2 linked regions of the Oryctolagus cuniculus genome follow. The protein of the gene in region 2 interacts with the protein of the main gene of each other region in a biochemical or structural test. Links are inferred from orthologs where the notes say so. Each region holds a gene or a part of one and is shown on either strand. Other genes may lie near its edges. The genes, in order: SCN5A and PTPN3.

Region 1 (10,294 bases), on a different chromosome or scaffold from region 2:
AGTTCGAGTTGTAGCTGACTTTCCTTCCTTTTCAAAATGTTTACTTGGGGCTGGTGTTGTGGTGTAGCGGGTAAAACCGCGGCCTGGGACACCGCCATGACGGTTCTGCGCCAGTTCGGGTCCCGGCTGCTCCGCTTCCGATCCAGCTCCCTGCTACTGCACCTGGGAGGGCAGTGGACGATGGCCCAGGTGCTGGGCCCTGCGCCCGCGTGGGAGACCTGGGTTGAACCCCTGGCTTTTTTTTTTTTTTTTTGACAGGCAGAGTGGACAGTGAGAGAGAGAGAGAGAAAGGTCTTCCTTTTGCCGTTGGTTCACCCTCCAATGGCCGCCGCGGCCGGCACGCTGCGGCCGGCGCACTGCGCTGATCCGATGGCAGGAGCCAGGAGCCAGGTGCTTTTCCTGGTCTCCCATGGGGTGCAGGGCCCAAGCACCTGGGCCATCCTCCACTGCACTCCCTGGCCACAGCAGAGAGCTGGCCTGGAAGAGGGGCTACCGGGACAGAATCCGGCGCCCCGACCGGGACTAGAACCTGGTGTGCCGGCGCCGCTAGGCGGAGGATTAGCCTAGTGAGCCGCGGCGCCGGCCTAACCCCTGGCTCTTGACTTTGGCCTGGCCTCTGTGGACTCTGGGGGAGTGAACCAGTGGGTAAGAGGTCCGTCTGTCTCTACCTTCCACATAAGAAAATGAAAAGTTAAGAAATGGCTAAAATGGTAAGTTGTATGCTACCTCTATTTTACGACAAATAAAAACTGTGTGGGGGCGGGGGAGGAAGGCAAAGCAGGGAGAAGTGAAAGCCTGCTGAGGTCATCAGGCGAGGCCGCCCAGGGGCACTGCTGTCCCCGAACAGACGAGGACCCGGCCACGGGAGGTCCTGCGGGGGGAGGCTGGCCACAGTGTGGTGCGGTGGACACAAAGGCCAGGAAGGCGGAGTCGGGCGTCGCGCCTGGGTGGCCACTGCGCCTCCCTGGCCTGATGCAGACCTGGCCAGCTCCCCTCAGTGCCCCGACCGGGAGTCCTGGAGGCAGGGCCGGCCGGGTCACTGTCTGGGGGCTGGCTGCTGTGCCCACACCCGACTCGCCCCTGACCCGCCTGGGCTCCCGGCTCTTCTGACGGAAGTGCTTCCGGTTCTCAGCGTCGTCCCAGCCCCGCCCCCACCCTTGGCAGACCTCAGCAGCGCAGAGCCCACACCAGGCCACGTCGGCCGTTTATTGGTTTGTTTGAAAAATAATGTATTTTACGGTACACAAAGTCGGGTGACAAGTACACGGTTCCCTCAGACAACAGCTGGCACGTGTCCCCCCCCCCCGCGTGTTCCACTGCTGCTGGTCACTGCAGTTCGGGCGGGAGTGAGACCCACGCTAAAAGCCCAGGAGTTGGGTCTCGCTCGACCCTGCCCTCGGCCACACCCCTGCAGCCGGCCCCGGGCACCTGTCTGACACAGGTTCCGGCTGTCCATGCACACGAAACCGCAGCCGCCGTCCTGAGCCCGCGTGCACCAGGGCCGGGCACCCTCTCCAAGCCTGGCCGGCTCGGGCCGAGACTTAGAGTCCAGGGGGCGGGCAGGGGCCTGGGGCGATGGCGGGGGCGGGGGCACGTAACACTTGACTGGCCGACACCGCCCCTCAGCACTGCCCCGAGCCTCGCCAGCGTCCAGGCCTCGGGCAGCTCGGCGAGGTAGGTCAGGCGGTGAGCCCGAGGTGGCCGCGAGGTGGACGCCCGAGGCAGGCGGGACCTGTCACCCCGGGGACGCGGTCTCCACCCTGAAGGATTTGCATGTGCTACGTGGGACTGGCAGCAGCGCAACAGGTCCTGGGGAGATTTCCCTGAAAACGCCTCTCACGGACCTGGGGGGGTGAGCTGGCCCCTCCCCCGCCCGCCCCCGGAAGGCCCGCACAGGCAGCAGCCGACCTCAGGGCTGTGCCAGGCCGTGTCAGGGAGCCAGGGCCGCTGCTCTGTCCGTCAGAGGCCCGGGCTCAGCCCTGCCCCATCCCACACTGGGCCTGGGAGAGGGGCCGGGGGCGGGGCCGCAGGACTCCCCGCCCCCACGTGGTCATTAGAGGGAACTGAGGCCCGTCTTTGGAGGGTGGATGGACCGCCGTGGCCCACACGGCTCGGCCTGCCGGGGAGGCTGCGGGCTCCCTCGTGCCTGTAATACTCCTGTAAGCCAGGAAGGGCGCCCCGGCCTCCAGGCGTCCACTCCTGCAGGGCCGACCCCGCTACTCTGAGAGCAGAGTTCTGGCTGCCCCCAAGACACCTCAGCCTAGGGCTGAGAGGCCGCCGCCGCCCACAGGAGAAAACCAAGAACCTTAGTTCTTTGCTCAAGTAAAAAAATATCAAATATAATAAATTTATGAAAGCCCATTCGCAACATAGTCTGTTTTCCATTCTTAGCAGCTGGCATGGGGTTTGCTTCTTGGAGCCCCTGGGTGCCCTCCCTGGGCAGGCCAGGCCACTGGAACAGGTGGGGCTCCGGGGGACAGGCTGGGTCCCCATCGCCCGCCGGTCCAGCTGCCCACCTGCAGCCACAGGGCCAGAACCACGGCCCCAGCAGGTGGCCCCCAGCGCGTGCTGGCTTGTCACGCCGCCATGGCCGCCTGTCGGCGCGTCCTGGCCAGCCAGGGGGCCAGGCTCACACGATGGACTCGCGGTCCCTGTCCGGAGACGGGGGGAAGTCGGCGAGCTCCTCGCTGCGGCTGCAGTCGGACGCCCGCACCGGGAGGTTATCGCTGGTGGCCCTGGTGACGCTGTCGTAGGACGGCGGGAAGGACGTGGAGGAGACGGAGGAGCTGCAGGGCGGGCCGGGGCTCCGGGCGAAGTGCTCGCTCATCGTGCGGGCCAGCAGGCCCTCGCGCTCGGGCGCGTCCTCCTCCGAGAGGCCGCCGCTGCCCGCCCGCTGCCGGAACAGGAAGGAGGCGTGCTTCAGGGAGCGCTGCAGCAGGTACCTGCGGAAGGCCCGCTGGATGACCGTGGCCGACACCTCCTCGTGCTTGCGGCGCAGCGTGGTGGTGATGGGCTCGTAGGAGATCTTGGACGGGTTGGCCGCCATGAACTTCTCCTCCATCTGGATCTTGAGGGCGTCCATCTCGCCCGACTCCCCCAGCACCCGCTTGGTGAAGGCGAACAGGATGTCCATGCAGTGGATGCGGTCCCCGCTCACCATGGGCAGGTCCATGCTGATGAGGCTCAGCTGGTTGGGCTTGGCGATGCGCAGCGGCTCCGACAGGGCGTCCGCGAAGGCCGGCAGGGCCGAGTACTCGATGAACTGCGTGGCCTCGGGGTCGAACTTCTCCCAGATCTCGTAGAACATGTCGAAGTCGTCCTCGCTCAGCGGCTCCGTGCTCTCCTCCGTGGCCACGCTGAAGTTCTCCAGGATGATGGCGATGTACATGTTGACCACGATGAGGAAGGAGATGATGATGTAGGTGGTGAAGAAGAGGATGCCCACGGCGGGGCTGCCGCAGTTGCCCCGGGAGCCGCTGCCGGTGGGCAGGCTGGGGTCGCAGTAGGGCGGCCCCGTGTTGAGGATGGGGCTGAGCAGGCCGTCCCAGCCGGCCGACGTGGTGATCTGGAAGAGGCACAGCATGCTGTTGGCGAAGGTCTGGAAGTTGAACATGTCGTCGATGCCGGCCTCCCACTTGACGTAGGCGAAGTTGGCCATGCCGAAGATGGCGTAGATGAACATGACCAGGAAGAGCAGCAGCCCGATGTTGAAGAGGGCGGGCAGCGACATCATGAGGGCGAACAGCAGCGTGCGAATGCCCTTGGCCCCGCGGATGAGCCGGAGGACGCGGCCGATTCGGGCCAGGCGGATGACGCGGAAGAGCGTCGGGGAGAAGAAGTACTTCTGGATGATGTCCGAGAGCACGGTGCCTGCGGGGACAGCACAGCCTGCGGCCGCCGGCCTCCCACGGCCCCGCCACCCCCGGGGGCCCGGGACCCGCGTCGCGGGCTCTGTCTGTGAGGACCCTCCCCCGCGCTGTGGAAGCCACCCCTGGCTCCTTCCCAGCACACAGCCGCATCCACGCCACAGGGGACTCGCCTGGCACCTGGGGAAGCCCAGCTCGGACCACAGCTCCTGCCTCGGAGCTGCCACTCTGCCAGGGCACCGGGACCGGCAGCCTCGAGGTGACCCCAGCCCGTCGCAGTGTTCTGCCGAGCCCAGATCTGTGTACACGGCGAGCGGAAGGAGGCCGGGCCCGAGAATCAGGGTCCCCCACTCCCGAGTCCCCAGCAACCCGGGGCAGGGGCTTGAAGGGGCACGGAGGTACCCGGGGGAGGGGCAGGCGTTTGGCCTAGGTGCTGGGCTCAACCCGGGCCTCTATTCTGACTCCAGCTTCCTGCTGGTGTAGAAACCTGGGAAGCAGTGGTGATGGCTCGCGAGGCTGGGGAGACCTGACCGAGTTTCTGACCTCCAGCTCCTGGGCCGTTGTGAGTATTTGCAAAGCAAACCAGTGGCGGGGACCCCTCGCTCTCTAAAGCTTGCGGGAGGAAGAGTGAAATGAGCTTGCCTGCCATGGCCCAGGGCCCCGCGGAGCCCCCACGGGTTGGCGGTGTCCAGTGCTTACTGCCAGTCAGGGATGCCCTGGTCTCCAAATGACGAAGCTCAGGGGACGTCCACCCAGTGGACAGCTGGGGCCCGACCCAGACACCCCGGCTCCCAGCCGGCCTCGCCAGGGTGGCCCAAGTGCCCGCGTCCCCGGGCATCCACGCCTGTCCCTCCAGGCCACCGCTCCTGCTGCCCGCACCTGCACTCCCTAAAGCTTCTCTCCAGTTCCCCTCCCCACCGCCCGGGGCCTCCCCCCATCTGCCACCTCAGCCCCATCCCTGTGCCCAAGGCACCCGTGGGGCTGAAGTCAAAGCCTGGGCCCTGGGCACAAGGCACCAGAGGAGAACTACAAACTTCTTCACCAAAATGGAAGACTTTGTGCTTTGAGAGATACAACCAGGACATCGAAGCCAAACTAAACCAAACCAACGCCAAGACCAGGAGAAAATACATGCAAGCCGTATTGATAAGGGACTAGCATCCGGCACACCATCAGTCCCCGGGGCAGTGCAGGCCCCCCCCCCCCCCCCCCCCCGCCTCCGGGGCAGGTGTTTCCAGCTCCTTAGGAGAGCTCTGATAAGGACACCAGCAGGTGTTGGCAGCCCCACCCGGAACACCGTGGAGCCGCTCGGACAAGCTAGGACAAGTCTGGCAGGACTCAAAACTTTGGATGCATGGTTGCCAGGGAAAGGCGGAGTGACTACTAAGTGGGCGGAGTCTGGGAGGTGCAGACCACACAGGTGACAGCCGCCCGGCTCTGCACACACTGAAGACCAGAGTGCAGCGCTGACCTTCCTGTGGAAGTCACGCTCTCTCAGTGAGCTGTTCCGTAAGGCAGCGCTGAGGCTGAGACACGTGGGTAAGGGTCCTCTCTCCACTGTGCCTCCTGCGACACTGACATCACCAGGGGCCCTGAAGGAGCCTGCCACATGCCCTGGTGGTGAGATTCTAGAATGTTCCAAGTACCGCAGTGTAGCCCAGTGGCTTGCTGCCACTCACTCCCCGGGACTCAGCTCAGCCTGCCCCTGCTCAACCAGGAGCGCGGGTGTTCCTGCGGGAGGGCAGGAGGCCGCCACAGCACTCACGCCCTTTCCTACCCCACTTCAGCCTCCAGCCTCCCGAGCAGCCAGAGCTGAGCCCCAGGGGCCCCGGGATGCGGCCAGGACGGGGACCTGAGCCGCGTGCTCTCTGGAGGTCAGCACACACATGTGGCCCCCAGTGTGTGTGGGGGGGAGGGAGGGAGAAAGAAGGAGAGGGAAAGGGAGAGGGGGAGAGGGAGGGGGGAAGAGAGAAGGGAAGTGAGAGGGAGGGAAAAAGGGAGAGGGGGAGAGAGAAGGAGGGAGAAGGAGATGGGGAGAGGGAGGGAGAGGGAGATGGGGAGAGGGAGGGAGAGGGAGGGAGAGGGGAAGTGAGAGGGAGGGAAAAAGGGAGAGGGGGAGAGAGAGGGAGAAGAGAGGGTGGGAGAAGGGTAGAGGGAGGGAGAGGGGGAGAGGGAGGGAGAGGGGAAGTGAGAGGGAGAGGGGAAGTGAGAGGGAGGGAAAAAGGGAGAGGGGGAGAGAGAGGGAGAAGAGAGTGTGGGAGAAGGGGAGAGGGAGGGAGAGGGGGAGAGGGAGGGAGAGGGAGGGAGAGGGGAAGTGAGAGGGAGAGGGGAAGTGAGAGGGAGGGAAAAAGGGAGAGGGGGAGAGGGAGGGAGGGAGAAGGAGGGAGAGAGAGGGAGGGAGACGGAGGGGAGAGGGAGAGAGGGAGGGAGAAGGAGGGAGGGAGATAGGTGGAGAGGGAGAGGGGGAGAGGGAGGGAGGAGGGGTGCGGAGGAGGAGGAACAAGCGCTTGGCACTGCAGACACCCAGCTTGGGGTGAGGCCTGCCCCGCGGCAGCCCACGCGCCGGCCTGCGCACCCACCCACGATGGACAGGATGACGACCACGAAGTCGAAGATGTTCCAGCTGTTGGTGAAGTAGTAGTGGCGGAGCGCGGCCATCTTGATGATGCACTCGCCCGTGAAGATGGCCACGAAGAGCAGGTTGATCTTGGTCAGGACGCTGACCTTCTCGGGGCTCTGGTCGTCCGTCTCCACCATCATGGTGACCATGTTCAAGCAGATGAGAAACATGATGGTGACGTCGAAGGCCTGCTTGGTCACGATGTCAAACATGAAGCCCTGGTACTTGTTCTGCAGGGACAGGGACACCGTCTGGGGCGGGCTCACAGGGCGCTCGGACGGGTGGCCCCAGGGAGGCCCCGCCCCCGCCGCCCTCTGGGCCTCCTCCCAGGGTCTCCGGGATGGGCTGCCCTGCCCTGCTGTGCTGTGCTTTGCTTCCGGCTGCCAGGTCTGAAGGCTTCCGGTCAAATCTGGACTTTTCTCCCCCGGCTGCCCCCAAAGTAATGTGCTTTCTCTACCCTATTTACAGAATCGATGTCATTTATTCCACTAACTACACTGTGCGCGTCGTCTTCAGCTGTCATCCAGCCCAAATCGTTTTGGGGAGAGAGAAGAAACAGACGACACACGTGCACACGCACGCACACACACGCGTGTTTTTCAAGAACGGGTGGATTGGGCTGGGGGGGGGCGTTCAGCCCAGCAGGGGCCCGGCAGCTCCCCCCTGACCACATGGACGGTGCCAGACCAGGGGCCGCCCTGCTGTTGCCTCCCCTGGCGACCCAGGAAGGGCAGGAGGGGGCTGGCTCCGAGGCCGCCTGCCGTCCCGCCTGCAGGGCTGAACCCTCCGTGCCACGCCTCCAGGCGCACCCTTGATGGGGCTGCAGGGCTGTGAGGCGCCTCCAGGGCTTCCCTCCGCCCCACCTGGCGCCCGCCTCACCAGGGGCCGCGGGATGGGCTTCTGGGGCTTCTTGGAGCCCAGCTTCTTCATGGCGTTGTAGTACTTCTTCTGCTCCTCCGTCATGAAGATGTCCTGGCCCCCTAGGTGCAGAGGGACAGGCACAGCCTCATCCTGGGGGTCCGGGGTCCCGGAGCCACCCGCCTCCACGCTCCCTCTCCGGGTCGAGCAGGCGGGTCCCTGTGCTCAGCCAGAAGTCCTCCCCCACACCTGCGGGTCTCTGCCCCTCCCCCACACCTGCGGGTCTCCGCCCCGCCCCCACACCTGCGGGTCTCCGCCCCGCCCCCACACCTTCCTTAGCAGGGTCTCCGCCCCGCCCCCACACCTGCCTTGGCAGGGTCTCCGCCCCTCCCCACACCTGCCTTGGCAGGGTCTCCATCCCCTCCCCCACACCTGCCTTGGCAGGGTCTCCGCCCCGCCCCCACACCTGCCTTGGCAGGGTCTCCGCCCCTCCCCCACACCTGCCTTGGCAGGGTCTCTGCCCCTCCCCACACCTGCCTTGGCAGGGTCTCCGCCCCGCCCCCACACCTGCCTTGGCAGGGTCTCCGCCCCGCCCGCCCTGAGGTCTCCCTGGGTTTGTGATGTGCACATCAGAGCCCGCCTGTTCGCCCTCCCCTTGCCCATCTCGGCCAGTGCTGGGTCCTCTCCGCCCACTAACTAGGTCTGCTTGCATCCAGGCACAGCCCCTCTGATGGACAGGGTGGGACCTTGGCCTCTGCACGGGCCCCACCCACGACCCCCTCCCCACACGAGGGAGCGCCCGGCCTCCCCCGGCTTCGCTCTGATAGACGAGGAGGGGGCGCCCTCCCCTCCCCCAGGAAGAAGCCTGCGCGCGCCGCAGGGAGGGGAGCCGAGGCCCAGAGCCGAGGGGCGGCCCGGCCACGCCCAGCCCGGGCGGGGGGGAGGGCCCGTGCTCCACGTATCTTCTTCTTCTGCTGGTTGAAGTTGTCGATGATGACGCCGATGAAGAGGTTCAGGGTGAAGAAAGACCCGAAGATGATGAAGATGACGAAGTAGATGTACATGTAGAGGTTGTTCTCCCACTGGGGCTGCTCTTCGTACTGTGGGGGGGAGCAGGGGCGGTCAGACGGCCGGGGCTGGCGACGGCTGGCGGGGCACCCACTCCCGAGGCCTGCCCAGAGGGAGTGTGTGTGCATATGTGTGTGTGTGTGCGTGTGTGTGCGTGTGTGTGTGCGTGCATGTGTGCGTGTGTGTGCATGTGTGCGTGTGTGTACGTGCATACATGTGTGTGTGTGTGTGTGTGTGTGTGCGTGCCAGGGCTGGACCGGGGCGGGGGGTGGGGGGCATGAGGCTGTCTGGCTTCAGTCCCTGCACCACTGGGGCTCCTCCCAGGTCTGTCAGGGTGATGGGTGGGGTGCAGGGGCGACAGGAAGGTTCTCTTGCTTCCACGCACCCTCCTGGTGGAGCCACACGGAGCTGAATTTGCAACCTTGGACGTGCGGGAGACCACGCGGCCTTGCCCCAGGGCCAGGCCTGGCCACTTCACACAGGCAGAGCCTCCGCGTGCCCCTGCTGGGCTGGGCTTCCGGTGCAGGCCTGCTCCCCGGGGACACTTACCCCCCGGGAGTCCACAGCCGCGTACATGATGTCCATCCAGCCCTTGAACGTCGCCTGGGAAGAGAAGACGGCGCTCAGACTCACGGCCTCTGTCTCCGAGCTGCACAGAGGGCCAGGAGAGAGCCCACCCCACCCCACGCCCCCCCTCGGCAGTGGGCAAAGTGCCCTGTGGAGGGCTGGGGTGGTGGGGAAGCAGCTGGCCGGCCCTCCAGGGCGGCCGTGCCGTGGGGAGCAAGCTCTCGACCGAGCGGAGTCTGACGGGGCCTCCGGGTCTGCATCCCAGAGCCCACTACAACTCAGGGCCCTCGCAGCGGGTGCCAGGGACAGACGGCGGGGACTGGGGTGCTCTGCTCCCCAAATCCCTGGTCGCTGTGTGGGCCCGTTTCTCCGGGGTGAAGCCTCCCCCAGCACAGTGCAGGGACGGGAAGGCAGACACGGCCGACACAGGTGCCCCAGGCACGGATGGTAACAGCACCGAGCGGCGAGCTCGCTCTGGGTAGCAGCGCCTCTGTCGTCACCATCAGGTCTCAGTTCCGGGAAGTGAACTGGTTAGTTTCACAAGATGTCTGCAGGCTGCACAGATGGCGGCTCTGTAGCGCACAACTCCCACGGAGTAGAAAGGAGGCTGACCTAAGGCAGGGCCCTGGTCGCTCTGTCTGCCCCGTCCAGGCTGTGCGGAGAGGCAGAAAGAGCCCAAGAGACGGGCTCAGGGGAGAGAGCGCCCGCCCGCCCGGGGAGTCAACACCCAGCCGCGGGCTGAGCCTCCCTCCCAGCACAGGCTCTCTGAGTTCTGAGTGGAGGCCGAGGCTCCCACAGGAGCGCCACGCAGCGCCGGGGCCAGCGGCCCCCGCCTGCACAGACAGCCCCGGGACCACTTGGAAACGGCAGAGGGCCGGCCCCGGGATGGGTGGATGTTCCCGAGGCCTTCCAGGGCCCGTGGCTCTGTCTGGAAAGGGGGCGGAGCTCAGCTGCATCGGGCGTTAGCTCCACTGCCCGCTAGGGCGTCTCTGTGGGGGAGGCGGGGGCGTGAGTGGATGCGCAGGGGGTCTCCAGGTGAGGCTCTGCTGAGCGCCCGTCGCCCTGGGGCCCAAGCGTGGGGTGGGGGACAAGCACCTCGCATCTGCGTGCGTGCTGGCTGGGCGCCTCTCTGGGGTGCAGGCTAACCGTGGGTCACGTCGTGGTTCATGCTGTAACACTGACACCACCAGGCCCGCCAAGCCTGGGGGGACCGTGTGTTTGAACTCTGCCAACACTACCGGTCTTGCACATCAAAGATGGAGGCCAGCACAGTCTTGTCGGCAGTCCCTGTGCCACTGCCGGACCACCTGCCAGG
Region 2 (10,857 bases):
AGAGGGAAGGAGTGAGGAAGGAAGGGAGAGAGAATATCCTAGCTGCTGGTTCATTCCTCAGTGCCCACAATAGCTGGGGCTGGGCCAGGCCAAAGCCAGAAGCCAGAAACTCAATTCAAGTCTCCTGCATGGGGGGCAGGGACTCAACTATGTGAACTATTACCTGTTGCCTCCGGGGTCCACAATGGGAAGCTGGAATTATGAGTGGAGCTAGGACTCAAACCTAGGCACTCTGATACGGGTTCAGGGCATCCCAAGTGGCACCTTAACCACTAATGCCATATGCTGTCCCCGTGTGACATGCTAACCTAACTTCTAGTAGCAGTTTCCAGTTCTCTGCTCATTAACCATAAATACTCTCCCACCTCCAGCTACCCTTTCAATTAGCTTAAATGTTTAAAGCCTGGAAATTTTGCTATCAATCCAGAATGTAGATATTGCTGCTCTCTGATGAAAGGCTAAGATAAACTGGAGTAAGAAATCAGAATGACCTTGATCTTAATCTTGATCATGCTGGGAGGGGACTAGGAATAGCAGAATTGGTAGAGGTTTTGGAAGCAAGTGGACCTTGTTCCAAATCTGATTTTACTTTTTGCCTCTGCCACTACTAGCCAGGTGGTTTTGGGTAAGTTCCATAACATTTGTAAGCTTCAGTTTTTATTTTTGTATCTTTAAATTGGAGAGGTTTTGTTGTGAGAATGAGTGATGATGTATGTGAATGCCTGTCTCTCTTTTTTTAAGATTTATTTTTATTTATTTGAAGAGAGAAAGAAGGGGAGATCAATTTTCCATCCACTGGTTTACTTCCCAAATGACTGCAATGGCTGGGACTGGGTCAGACCAAAGCTAAGAGCCTGGAATTTCTCCTGGGTCTCCCATGTAGGTGGCAGGGGCCCAACTACTCGGGAATCTTTTCTACTCTCCTAGGTGCATTAGCAGGGAACTGGATCAGAAGTGGAGCAGATGGGATTCAAAAAGGCATTCATATGGGATGCCAGTGTCACCACAAAGCTGCCCCCAGTGTCTGGTTCTTACAAGCCCAGGGCTTTAGTTATTAGTGACAATTCCTGAGACCAGGCTGTCACCAGTGCCTCTCCTCTGCATGGTCTCTGGCCTGTGAGCATCTTCCCAGGTCAGGGGTGCATATCTCATCTTGGGATCTTAACCCGTGCTCCCAAGCCTGGCACAAGGTGGACCTCAGTCAACAGTTGCTGAAGGAATGATGAGGAAGGTAAAGAAAATTCCCTTGCCACCTGCCCGGAAGCCACAGCATTGCTGTGGCACTCAGATGTGAAGTCTGATCTGTTTCAAGTTGTAAGTGTGCGATCTCATGAAAATAATTCTTTCTCTCTGAATGTGCTGTCATCCCTCAGTACTTGCAGGGGCTTGGTTCCAGGACCCTCGCAGATGCCCAACCCAGGGATGCTCAAGTCACTGGTAGAAAATAGTGCAGTATTTACACATGACCTGTGCACATTCTCTCATATGCTGACAATCATCTCTACATTACTGTAGTATCATATACGATGTAAAGGCTCCCATATAAATTGTTGGTGCATTGTATTGCTTAGGGAATAATAACAAGAAAAAATGTCTGTGCATTCAGTACAAAGGCAGTTTTCCACCTACGGTTGGTCAGATCCACAGATGGGGACTCATGGATGTGGAGGCCAACTGCACTTCTTTCTACACCATGGGTGGCAGATGATGCCCAGGTTTTCCTCTCCCTCCATAACTGCTGTTGTTGCTTTCTTTTTTTCTATTTTATTTTTTATTTTTTGACAGGCAGAGTGGACAGTGAGAGAGAGAGACAGAGAGAAAGGTCTTCCTTTGCCGTTGGTTCACCCTCCAATGGCTGCCATGTCTGGTGCGCTGCAGCCGGCTCATTGCGCCGATCCGATGGCAGGAGCCAGGTACTTATCCTGGTCTCCCATGGGGTGCAGAGCCCAAGAACTTGGGCCATCCTCCACTGCACTCCCGGGCTACAGCAGAGAGCTGGCCTGGAAGAGGGGCAACCGGGACAGAATCCGGCGCCCCGACCGGGACTAGAACCCGGTGTGCTGGCGCCGCAAGGCGGAGGATTAGCCTAGTGAGCTGCAGCGCCTGCTGTTGCTTTCTAAATGAAATGGATCCAATATCAAAGAGAGAATTTTGGAAGAGATTTTGGTGCAGGTCGAAACTGGGCCCTGCAATTTTTTTACATTTATTTATTTGAAAGGCAGTGTGTCAAAGAAAGAGAGAGAGGAGAGAGAGAGCAAGAAGAGCAGAGAGTGTTTTCTGCTGATTTACTCCCCAAATGACTGCAATGGGTGGAGCTGGGCCTGGCTGACCCAGGAGCCTGGAACTCCACCCTGGTCTCCCACATGGGTGGCACAAGCCTAAGCACCGGGGTCAGCCTCCACTGCTTCTCAGGTACATTACCAGGAAGCTGGATGGAAAGTAGAGCAGCTGGGACTTGAACTCCCAAATGGGATGCCAGTGGCTGTTTAACCTGCGGTGCCCCAATGCCAGCCCCCATGTGGTGTTTTGACTTTAGCACTCAAAGTCCAGGAAACATCTCAGCCTTTGGATTTCCCTCAGGCCTCTTGGGCACTAGTTTAGAAAGACCTGGGGAAGGCTGGTGCCATGGCTCACTAGGCTATTCCTCCGCCTTGCGGCGCCGGCACACCGGGTTCGGGGCGCCGGATTCTGTCCCGGTTTCCCCTCTTCCAGGCCAGCTCTCTGCTGTGGCCAGGGAGTGCAGTGGAGGATGGCCCAAGTCCTTGGGCCCTGCACCCCATGGGAGACCAGGAGAAGTACCTGTCTCCTGCCATCGGATCAGCGCGGTGCGCCGGCCGCAGCGCGCCAGCCATGGCGGCCACTGGAGGGTGAACCAACGGCAAAGGAAGACCTTTCTCTCTGTCTCTCTCTCTCACTGTCCACTCTGCCTGTCAGAAAAAAAAAAAAAAAAAAGACCTGGGGAAGCTGACCAGCAGAGCCACCACTATAGGTTCGAGATCTTTGGAATGCCCTTCAAAGTTTGGCTTGATTAGTTCTATATGATTCTGACAGGTTACATTGAATTTAGTGCTTAGATGCAAATGGAGCAGATCATAAAAATTAAAACTTTTACTCTCTGTACAAAAAGTAATCCAACTGGCTACTTCAAAAATATTACAGTGTGCAGAAGTTCTTGACATGCTAATAGTGCCAAAATTGAGACTGAGACAAATGTATTAATTTTGGATCTTGGCTTATTTCTCAAACCTATTTTTGGATTGCAGTTTGCTTTCATCCAGAACAGGCTTGCCTCCTTGCTGAAGTATTTGTTCAAGGGCAAATCTTTTTGAGTAATCTGTAGAGGAACAGGAAGCACTTTAATTTTGCTTTTAAAACCCTATCAATATCAAAGCTGGTAGAATGCAAAAAGATGGGCTTATGTGGTATAAAAAAAATCGATCTCAAAAGAACTGTGGCTACTGTTTTTCATTGAAGTTAAAATTTCTGATTTCAATTTTAGCGGGACAGGATTCCAGCCACTTAACCTTAGACCTTGCTCGGACAGGTATTTTACATATGGGTATGAGCCTTGTGATTTCACATTGGGCCAGCCAGTGTGTTTCAGCGAGACCAGAACCGCCTTACTGTGGTCAGTTCTCCACTCAGAATGTCCAGTCTAAACCAGAGATCTGATCAAGGCATCCTCTTGCTGAAAGCTACTGGGGATGCCACTTCTCCCAAGATCGAGTCCAGGGACCTTGCAGGCCTGCAGGAACTGATCCTCTACGAATCTTACCAGCTTGCTCCCTGGCTTCCACAGAGCCTCTTTAGAGCCCTTTACATTCCTTTCTCTTCTCTTTTTAAAACTGAGGCGAGGGCTGGCACTGTGGCGTAGTGGGTAAAGCCGCTGCCTGCAGTGCTGGTATCTCATATGGGTGAGTCCCAGCTACTTCACTTCCAATCCAGCTCTCTGCTAAGACCTGGGAAAGCAGTAGAAGATGACCCAAGTCCTTAGGGCCCTGCACCTGCATGGGAGACCCAGAAGAAGCTCCTGGCTTCTGGCTTCTGGCTCCTGGCTTCGGATCGGCCCAACTCCGGCTGTTGTGGCCATCCAGGGAGTAAACCAGTGGATGGAAGACCTCTTTCTCGCTGCCTCTGCCTCTCTGCAACTCTGCCTTTCAAATAAGTAAATAAATTTTTAAAAAAATTGAGGTGAAATTCACATAACATAAAAGTAACTTTTAAACAGAATAATTCACTGATGTTTCATGTATTTACAATGTTGTGCATTGATCACTATTATCCAGTTTGGGAAAATTTTCATGCTTCCCCAAAAAAGGAACCTTGTTGCACTAGCAGTCACTTCCCTGATTGTCCTCTTTTATAATCTCTGGCAACCACCGATCTTCTTCCTGTATGTGTGGATTTGCCTGTTCTGGATATTCCGTGTAAATGCAGTCATGCAGTGTGACGCCTCTCGTGTCTGGCTTCTTTCACTTAGTAGAATACTTTCAAGACCCATCCACATTGTAGCATGGATCAGAACTTCCTTCCTTCCTTTTTATGGCCGAGTAATATTCCATTGTATGGAGGTATCACAATTTGTTGATCTGTTCATCCATTGGTGGATGTTTGGGTTGTTTCTACCTTTTGGATACTTTTAATACATGTGTGTCCACATATTTGTTTGAGTACCAATTTTCAATTCTTTTGGCTATACGCATGTTACATATATTATTATATATAGTAATCAATATAATATTATATACAATGATATAATAGATGAGTCATAGTATGTATTATATATATGACTCATATATGTTATACACACATACACACACACATATACACACATCCATATGGACTTACAGAACCATAAGAGGATTGATTGTGTTTGACATTTTAGGGAATCGGTGCACTGTTTTCCTTCCCTTTCTGTTGTTTTTCAAAAATAGAGTGCAGTCAATAAAATGTCTTTCATAGCACAGTTCTCAGATCTTTTTGATCCTAACAGATTATAATATATTTGAATGCAGGGTTTGTGTCCTGTTCATCTGCAGGTCTCTAGGACTTGGCACGGGGCTGCACAAAGCAGGTGTTCAGTGTTGGGGGGATTGTATTAACCACAGAGGGGTTACATGTGGCTTTACCCATTGGAAGATATGCTGTGATAAGGTTTTGGACTATGAGTAAGGAACTGGGTCAAAGTGGAGAGTGGGTGAGATAGAGAAGACTCTATCAACTCCTTTGAGAAAAGAGAAAAGGAAGACCAGTATAGTAAACTAGTTATCCATTCACTGGGATTATATTGCTGGTTTGCCTTTGACTAACTCATTATAATTCTCTGAGAAATTAAATTCTCCTTTCTTTCAAATGAGAAAGTTGACTATTTTAATGATATTTGATTTAAAAATTATTTATTTTTCATTTTATTTGAAAGACAGATTGACAGAGGGAGACCGTCTATTCACTGGTTCACTCTCCAAATGCCTACAACAGCCCACTTGGGCCTGGCTGAAGCCAAGAGCCAGGGACTCAATCCAGGTCTCCCACATGCATGCAGAGACCCAAGTAATAGCAGCAGCCTCTTAGGGTGTGCATTAACAGGAAGCTGGAATCAGAAGCCGAGCAGAGACTGAAAGCAGGCACTCTGATGTGGGGTGTGGGTACCCCAAGTAGCATCTTAACTGCTGTGCCAAACATTCATCCAGGGATACTCAATTTTTTTTTTTTTTTTGTTTGCTTCAAAGAGTGGAAACATCCCCCCTCCACCTGCCCACTATGAGCTCCTGGGGAAATGTTGGAATGTGCATCTGCAGAGAGCTGGGGGGAGGGCAGAGTGCAGAGCAGGGTGGGGACCTGGCCTGACATCTTGTCTCTCAATAGCCCCAAGGACCTTGGCAAGGCTTTGAGACTGCAAGGTTACTGCATATTCTGAGCCCCCATCTGTAGCTCTCAGAGGCCCCTGTTGTACAAGATGAAGAAGGCATTAACAGATACACGTATGCATTATTCTGCAGCAACATTTTTTTTTCCTCAACCAATAGAGGAAACCTGAAGGATTTAAACAGCAACTCCAACAAGAAAAGAGCCCAACAATCTTTTTGAAAAATTATAGTGAATAGTATGCTTGGCTAAAAATGGGGTCTCCATTCCCCCTAACTCTTCTCAACTGCTTATCCTGAAAAAAATAAAGATGTCGCGGTCAGATTTTGGGAGCAGGAGCACCAGGCATTTCTACTTTTCTAACTGAACAGATTCCTGCACCATGAGAGCATTTCTCTGAGCACGTCCTGCTCCGTAGCAGAGCTGAGCACGTGAGCGGGCAGGCCTGGCCTTGTCCTTGTGCCATGGATTTCCCTTTCTCTTTCTCTCTCTGTCTTTGTCTCTCTCTCTCTCCTGGGGAGATGTCTTGAGAGTGTAACACTTACATGCCACCCTCCTGTTGTCTTTTCTCTCATTGCTTCTGAATGAGTCTGCAGGGTCAGGGGTTGGCCCAACCCCCTGACCCACTTCCCACCCTGCTGACCACCTCGCTCAGCTCAGCCTGGCTTGGCCCTCAACTGCGCTCACTGCTGATGCTGACTTGTCTCGGTCCTGCCCGGTTCCCTCTTTCTGCTGAAGCTCACATGTAGGCATTGCTTCTGAAGAGAGGCTGCATGAACCTGAAAACCCCTGACTGAAGTTATTTCAGGCAATGAGATTAAAAGATGGTCACACAGATGTCTGAATTAGCCAAAAAAAAAAAAAAAAAAAAAAATCCCCACATTGCTCTTTTCATTACCATTCCCACTTGCTGTCATAGAAACTTAGTTTAAGCAGTGGTAACCACAGACTTTCTTTCTCTTCCACGATCAACCCTCTTGTTCACCTTTTATGAGGCTCTTCTCGAAATTCTACAACTGCATTTAAAAATGTTCCCAAACAAAAGTTGCCCCTTGTTGTAGATCAGCCCTATTTTACAAATAGCAAGGAATTCCAGTTTTAACATCCCACCTGTCTTACTTCCTTAACTTCAAAAACGGGTATACACATCCACCTTGCAACATTTTTACGATTTCTTTAAAAATGCGTTTTGTAAGGGAACTTACAGCGTTCTGGGGCATGCTCACAGGACGGCGACTCCTCTTGCTCCACCATGATGCTCTTGGATTAATGGTGACTTGAATGCTGTAATCCTTTGAATAGCACTTCAAAAGAGGATTTGGAAAAGCTGAAATCTGTCTTGTAAATCTCGGCACTTGTCTCGGAAATCTTGCCTCGATCGCCTTCCAAAGCGTAATGTAACATGATGATTTTCCTCTGGGGAAACCTGTGAAACAGGTCTTGGCGCTCCATCGAATGTGTCAGAGTTTTAATTGATTCTTTACCAGGTCTATCCACCCCATAATAGCAGTGCTCAGCACAGGACGTGTTTTATGGGAATAGTCACCCAGGGCTTAATTTGTTGTCACATAGCAGACAGATTATTTCACAATGCAAATATCTCTGTCTTCTGCCTTGAGAATATCTTCGTGGTGCCTGCTGTGGGTCTGGCGAGTGCGAGCCGTGACAGCCTCCACTTAGCACTGATGTGGTTCCAGGGAGAATTTAGTCACGGTTCCTTTCCAGTTCTAGAAAACTGGTGTGGTTAAAAAGAGGGGCATTGGAGAACTCTGATCTGTGAGTTCATTCTTACTTTTGTCTTGCTTCCTGGACCACAAGCTAGGGGTGATCCCCATGCTAGTCCCATGTGAAGGACCTACACATACTTTATCCCATTGCATCCTTTTGATAACATTGTGAGGAGGGCAGGGCAAGTATCTTAACCCCATTTTACAGATAGGAAGACTTGAAACTTACTGCAGGAGCCATGGCTAATAATTGGCCATGCCGGGACCAGAAAGCAGATGCTCTTTGTAATAATTACCATCTTTCTTGGAAAGCAGCCAAGACAACTCCACCAAGAGCTTGCTGGAGAAACACCCTATCCCCAACACTCATTATTTCATTTAATCAACAAACATTTGTAGTGCACCTGAGCTTTGGGGCTCAAAATTCAGATGTGCAAAACAAAGGTAGCTTAGTTTTTCTATGACTTGAGTTAGATTTTCTTATAGGCCCTCAATTATTCCTGGTGACAGAGACTTAGTCAATTTTAGGTTTTATCAGCTCCTCTCCAGGGTTGTATATAAATTGAAGTCATTTGTGTGTGTGTGTGTGTGTGTGTGAGAGAGAGAGAGAGAGAGAGGGAGGGAGAGCGAGAGCGAGAGAGAGAGAGAGAGAGAGAGAGATTGAGAATCTACTAATGTCTCATAATACTATCCCAAGTTAATTTACCTAACATGCATTCAGCTCTCTGCTGGATGGAGCGGGTGGGGATGAGCAGGTGGTATTTCTGGCCCACTATGTTCACGGTGTAGTAAGAGAAGCAGAAAAACACACAGAGGTGGCTCTAAAGGGGGATGCAGGCGAGCAGCAGTACACATGGTCTAAACTAGTTCAGTGTTGCTGGCTGACTGGGAGGGTGTGGAAGGTGACCCCTGTCCCTTTCTCAAAGACCTGAGTGAAGACTGTACAACCCTACCTGCAATTTCCCTGCTACCCAAACAGTTTGGTGCTTATGGCATTGGGTAAACGATTTGAACGAAGAACTGAGTAGAAAGTCAAAGAAAACTTGATAATGGAACGATTATAATTTCGTATAAATTTGTATAATGTTGTATAATTATAGTTTGTATAATTTTGATCTCATTGGCGCTTTTCCATCTGGTTAAGAATGAAGAGAGCTATCCCTGTGTTGCCCACAAAGAATTGGGGTTGCTCAGTGGTCTTTTCTAGGCACTATTGCATGTTGAATCACACAGTAAGTTGAACCTCTACTGTCTCTCAAAAAAGTCCTGAAAGAGAGTTTGTCAGTTGCACAGAACAAATGCCCCCTGTTCTTTCATCCTCTCTTTAATGTTTCCTCTCCTTCCCTCCCTATTCATTCTGACCATGATTTTATCTACCCACTCATCCATTAGCTGTCTCATACCCTGCTCTCCTTTTCCCTAGTCTAAACTCGCACCCCTAAATCTCCCAAAGCTGGGCTGGCATAGTTTTTTAAAAAAATTTTCTCCATCTCTTTCTGCTTTAGCTTCCCCCATCTTTCCCTTTTTCCTTTTCTTCTTTCTTTTCCAAACCAGTTGCTGTCTGTCCTTTTCAATATAAGTCAAATATTACCTGCTGTGCATAACAGATCTGGGGAAACAACCAACAGGATAGAATCATTGTTAGCATGGTGGGAAACCACCCTTGGCAAGCTAGGGGAAGCGGGTGAGGTTCTGGGGAGGAAGGAGAAGAGCCCAAAGGAAACAGACAGTTTTCCTCAGTAGATAAAGAAGGCAAAGAAGGATTACTATTTGCAAGTGTGTTTTTCAATCTCTGTCAACTTGTTTTGCAGATGGAGAAACTGAGGCCAATCAAATAAAATAGGCTGCCCAAGTTCTCACAGCTGGTTAGAGACAGAGCAATGATTTAGATCTGGATCTTTGACACAAAGTACTTTGATATGAAGTGTTGTTCCTACCCTCAGTCAGAGTAAAGTCCTGGTTTGTATACGATTCCAATGAGAGGGAAATTCAAATAGCTAAGATCTTCCCACTCCTAGTAGTGATAGAGAAGTCCATTAATGGAAAAAAGACACAAAGTCTATCAGGATAAACATGATATCTTGGTTGTTGATGTGGTCATGGTCACCCACTACCAGAAGGAAGCAGGAAAGAAGGGACGTGGAGGGAGGGAGGGGGCCGATGGCCCTGAGTTTTTAATGGTATTGGAGTTACGTGGATTCTAGTGGCCTGGTGAATTAAATGGGAAAACTTACTCTGAGGGAAACAAAAGTCTGTACCTGTCTTCAAACAACGAGAACAGAAAACTCTCAGTATTATTTCCTGGTTACAAAAATACTACTTGGACTGTATAAAATATTAAAACTCAGATGTATATAGCAGAAAGTGAACAGCCCCTATTATACCCCAACCCACATAAAAAGTTCTCCCATATTTTTTCTATGCAAATACTAATATGGTTGGGGGATAGTAGAATATTATTCACAATTTGATTTCAATTCATTTCAATTTGCTAAAGCTTAATCACAGGCCCAGAATATCACCTGTCTTGATGAATTTTCTATGTAAATGCAAAAGGAATGCCTTTTTTTTTTTTTTTGCTGTTGTTGGGTAGCAAACTCTATAAATGTCTATCAGACTAAGTTGTTGAGAGTTATTCAGCTTTGTTATATGTTTTTTTTTTTTTAATTTTTGACAGGCAGAGTGGACAGTGAGAGAGAGAGACAGAGAGAAAGGTCTTCCTTTGCCGTTGGTTCACCCTCCAATGGCCGCCGCTGCAGCCGGCGCACCGCGCTGATCCGATGGCAGGAGCCAGGATCCAGGTGCTTTTCCTGGTCTCCCATGGGGTGCAGGGCCCAAGCACTTGGGCCATCCTCCACTGCACTCCCTGGCCATAGCAGAGAGCTGGCCTGGAAGAGGGGCAACCGGGACAGAATCCGGCGCCCCAACCAGGACTAGAACCCGGTGTGCCGGCGCCGCAAGGTGGAGGATTAGCCTATTGAGCCACGGCGCCGGCTTAGCTTTGTTATATGTTTATCAATTTTCTGTGTACTTGTTCTGTCAATTACTGAGAGGAAAATGTTGACCTCTCCAAGTATGGTTATGGATTTATCCATTTCTCCTTTCAGTTCTATCAGCTTTTTTCCCTTCATGCATTTTGGCTTAAAAGTGCTTTTCTTCTTATACTCTAAAGATGTTGTTCATCTGGCCTGGACGGTTTATGGTGAGAAATCAAAATTCATTCAAGTTACTGTTCCTCTAGAAGTAATGTGTTGTTAGGCTCTTA

Evidence for each region.
Region 1: the proteins of PTPN3 (region 2) and SCN5A form a complex in vitro, tested with the Homo sapiens proteins (2 studies listed by IntAct, with this or other methods). The link is inferred for Oryctolagus cuniculus from reciprocal best matches to the Homo sapiens genes PTPN3 and SCN5A.

The regions. Positions count from the first base shown.
Region 1 is NC_091435.1:174,729,599-174,739,892, forward strand, and holds the end of SCN5A (sodium channel protein type 5 subunit alpha), read right to left. Parts: intron 9,016-10,294; coding exon 8,962-9,015; intron 8,445-8,961; coding exon 8,303-8,444; intron 7,471-8,302; coding exon of another isoform or gene 7,467-7,470; coding exon 7,366-7,466; intron 6,717-7,365; coding exon 6,446-6,716; intron 3,871-6,445; coding exon 2,630-3,870; 3' UTR 1,176-2,629; downstream 1-1,175. UniProt on the Homo sapiens protein: Pore-forming subunit of Nav1.5, a voltage-gated sodium (Nav) channel that directly mediates the depolarizing phase of action potentials in excitable membranes.
Region 2 is NC_091432.1:213,233,533-213,244,389, forward strand, and holds the start of PTPN3 (tyrosine-protein phosphatase non-receptor type 3), read right to left. Parts: upstream 7,247-10,857; 5' UTR 7,120-7,246; coding exon 7,071-7,119; intron 1-7,070.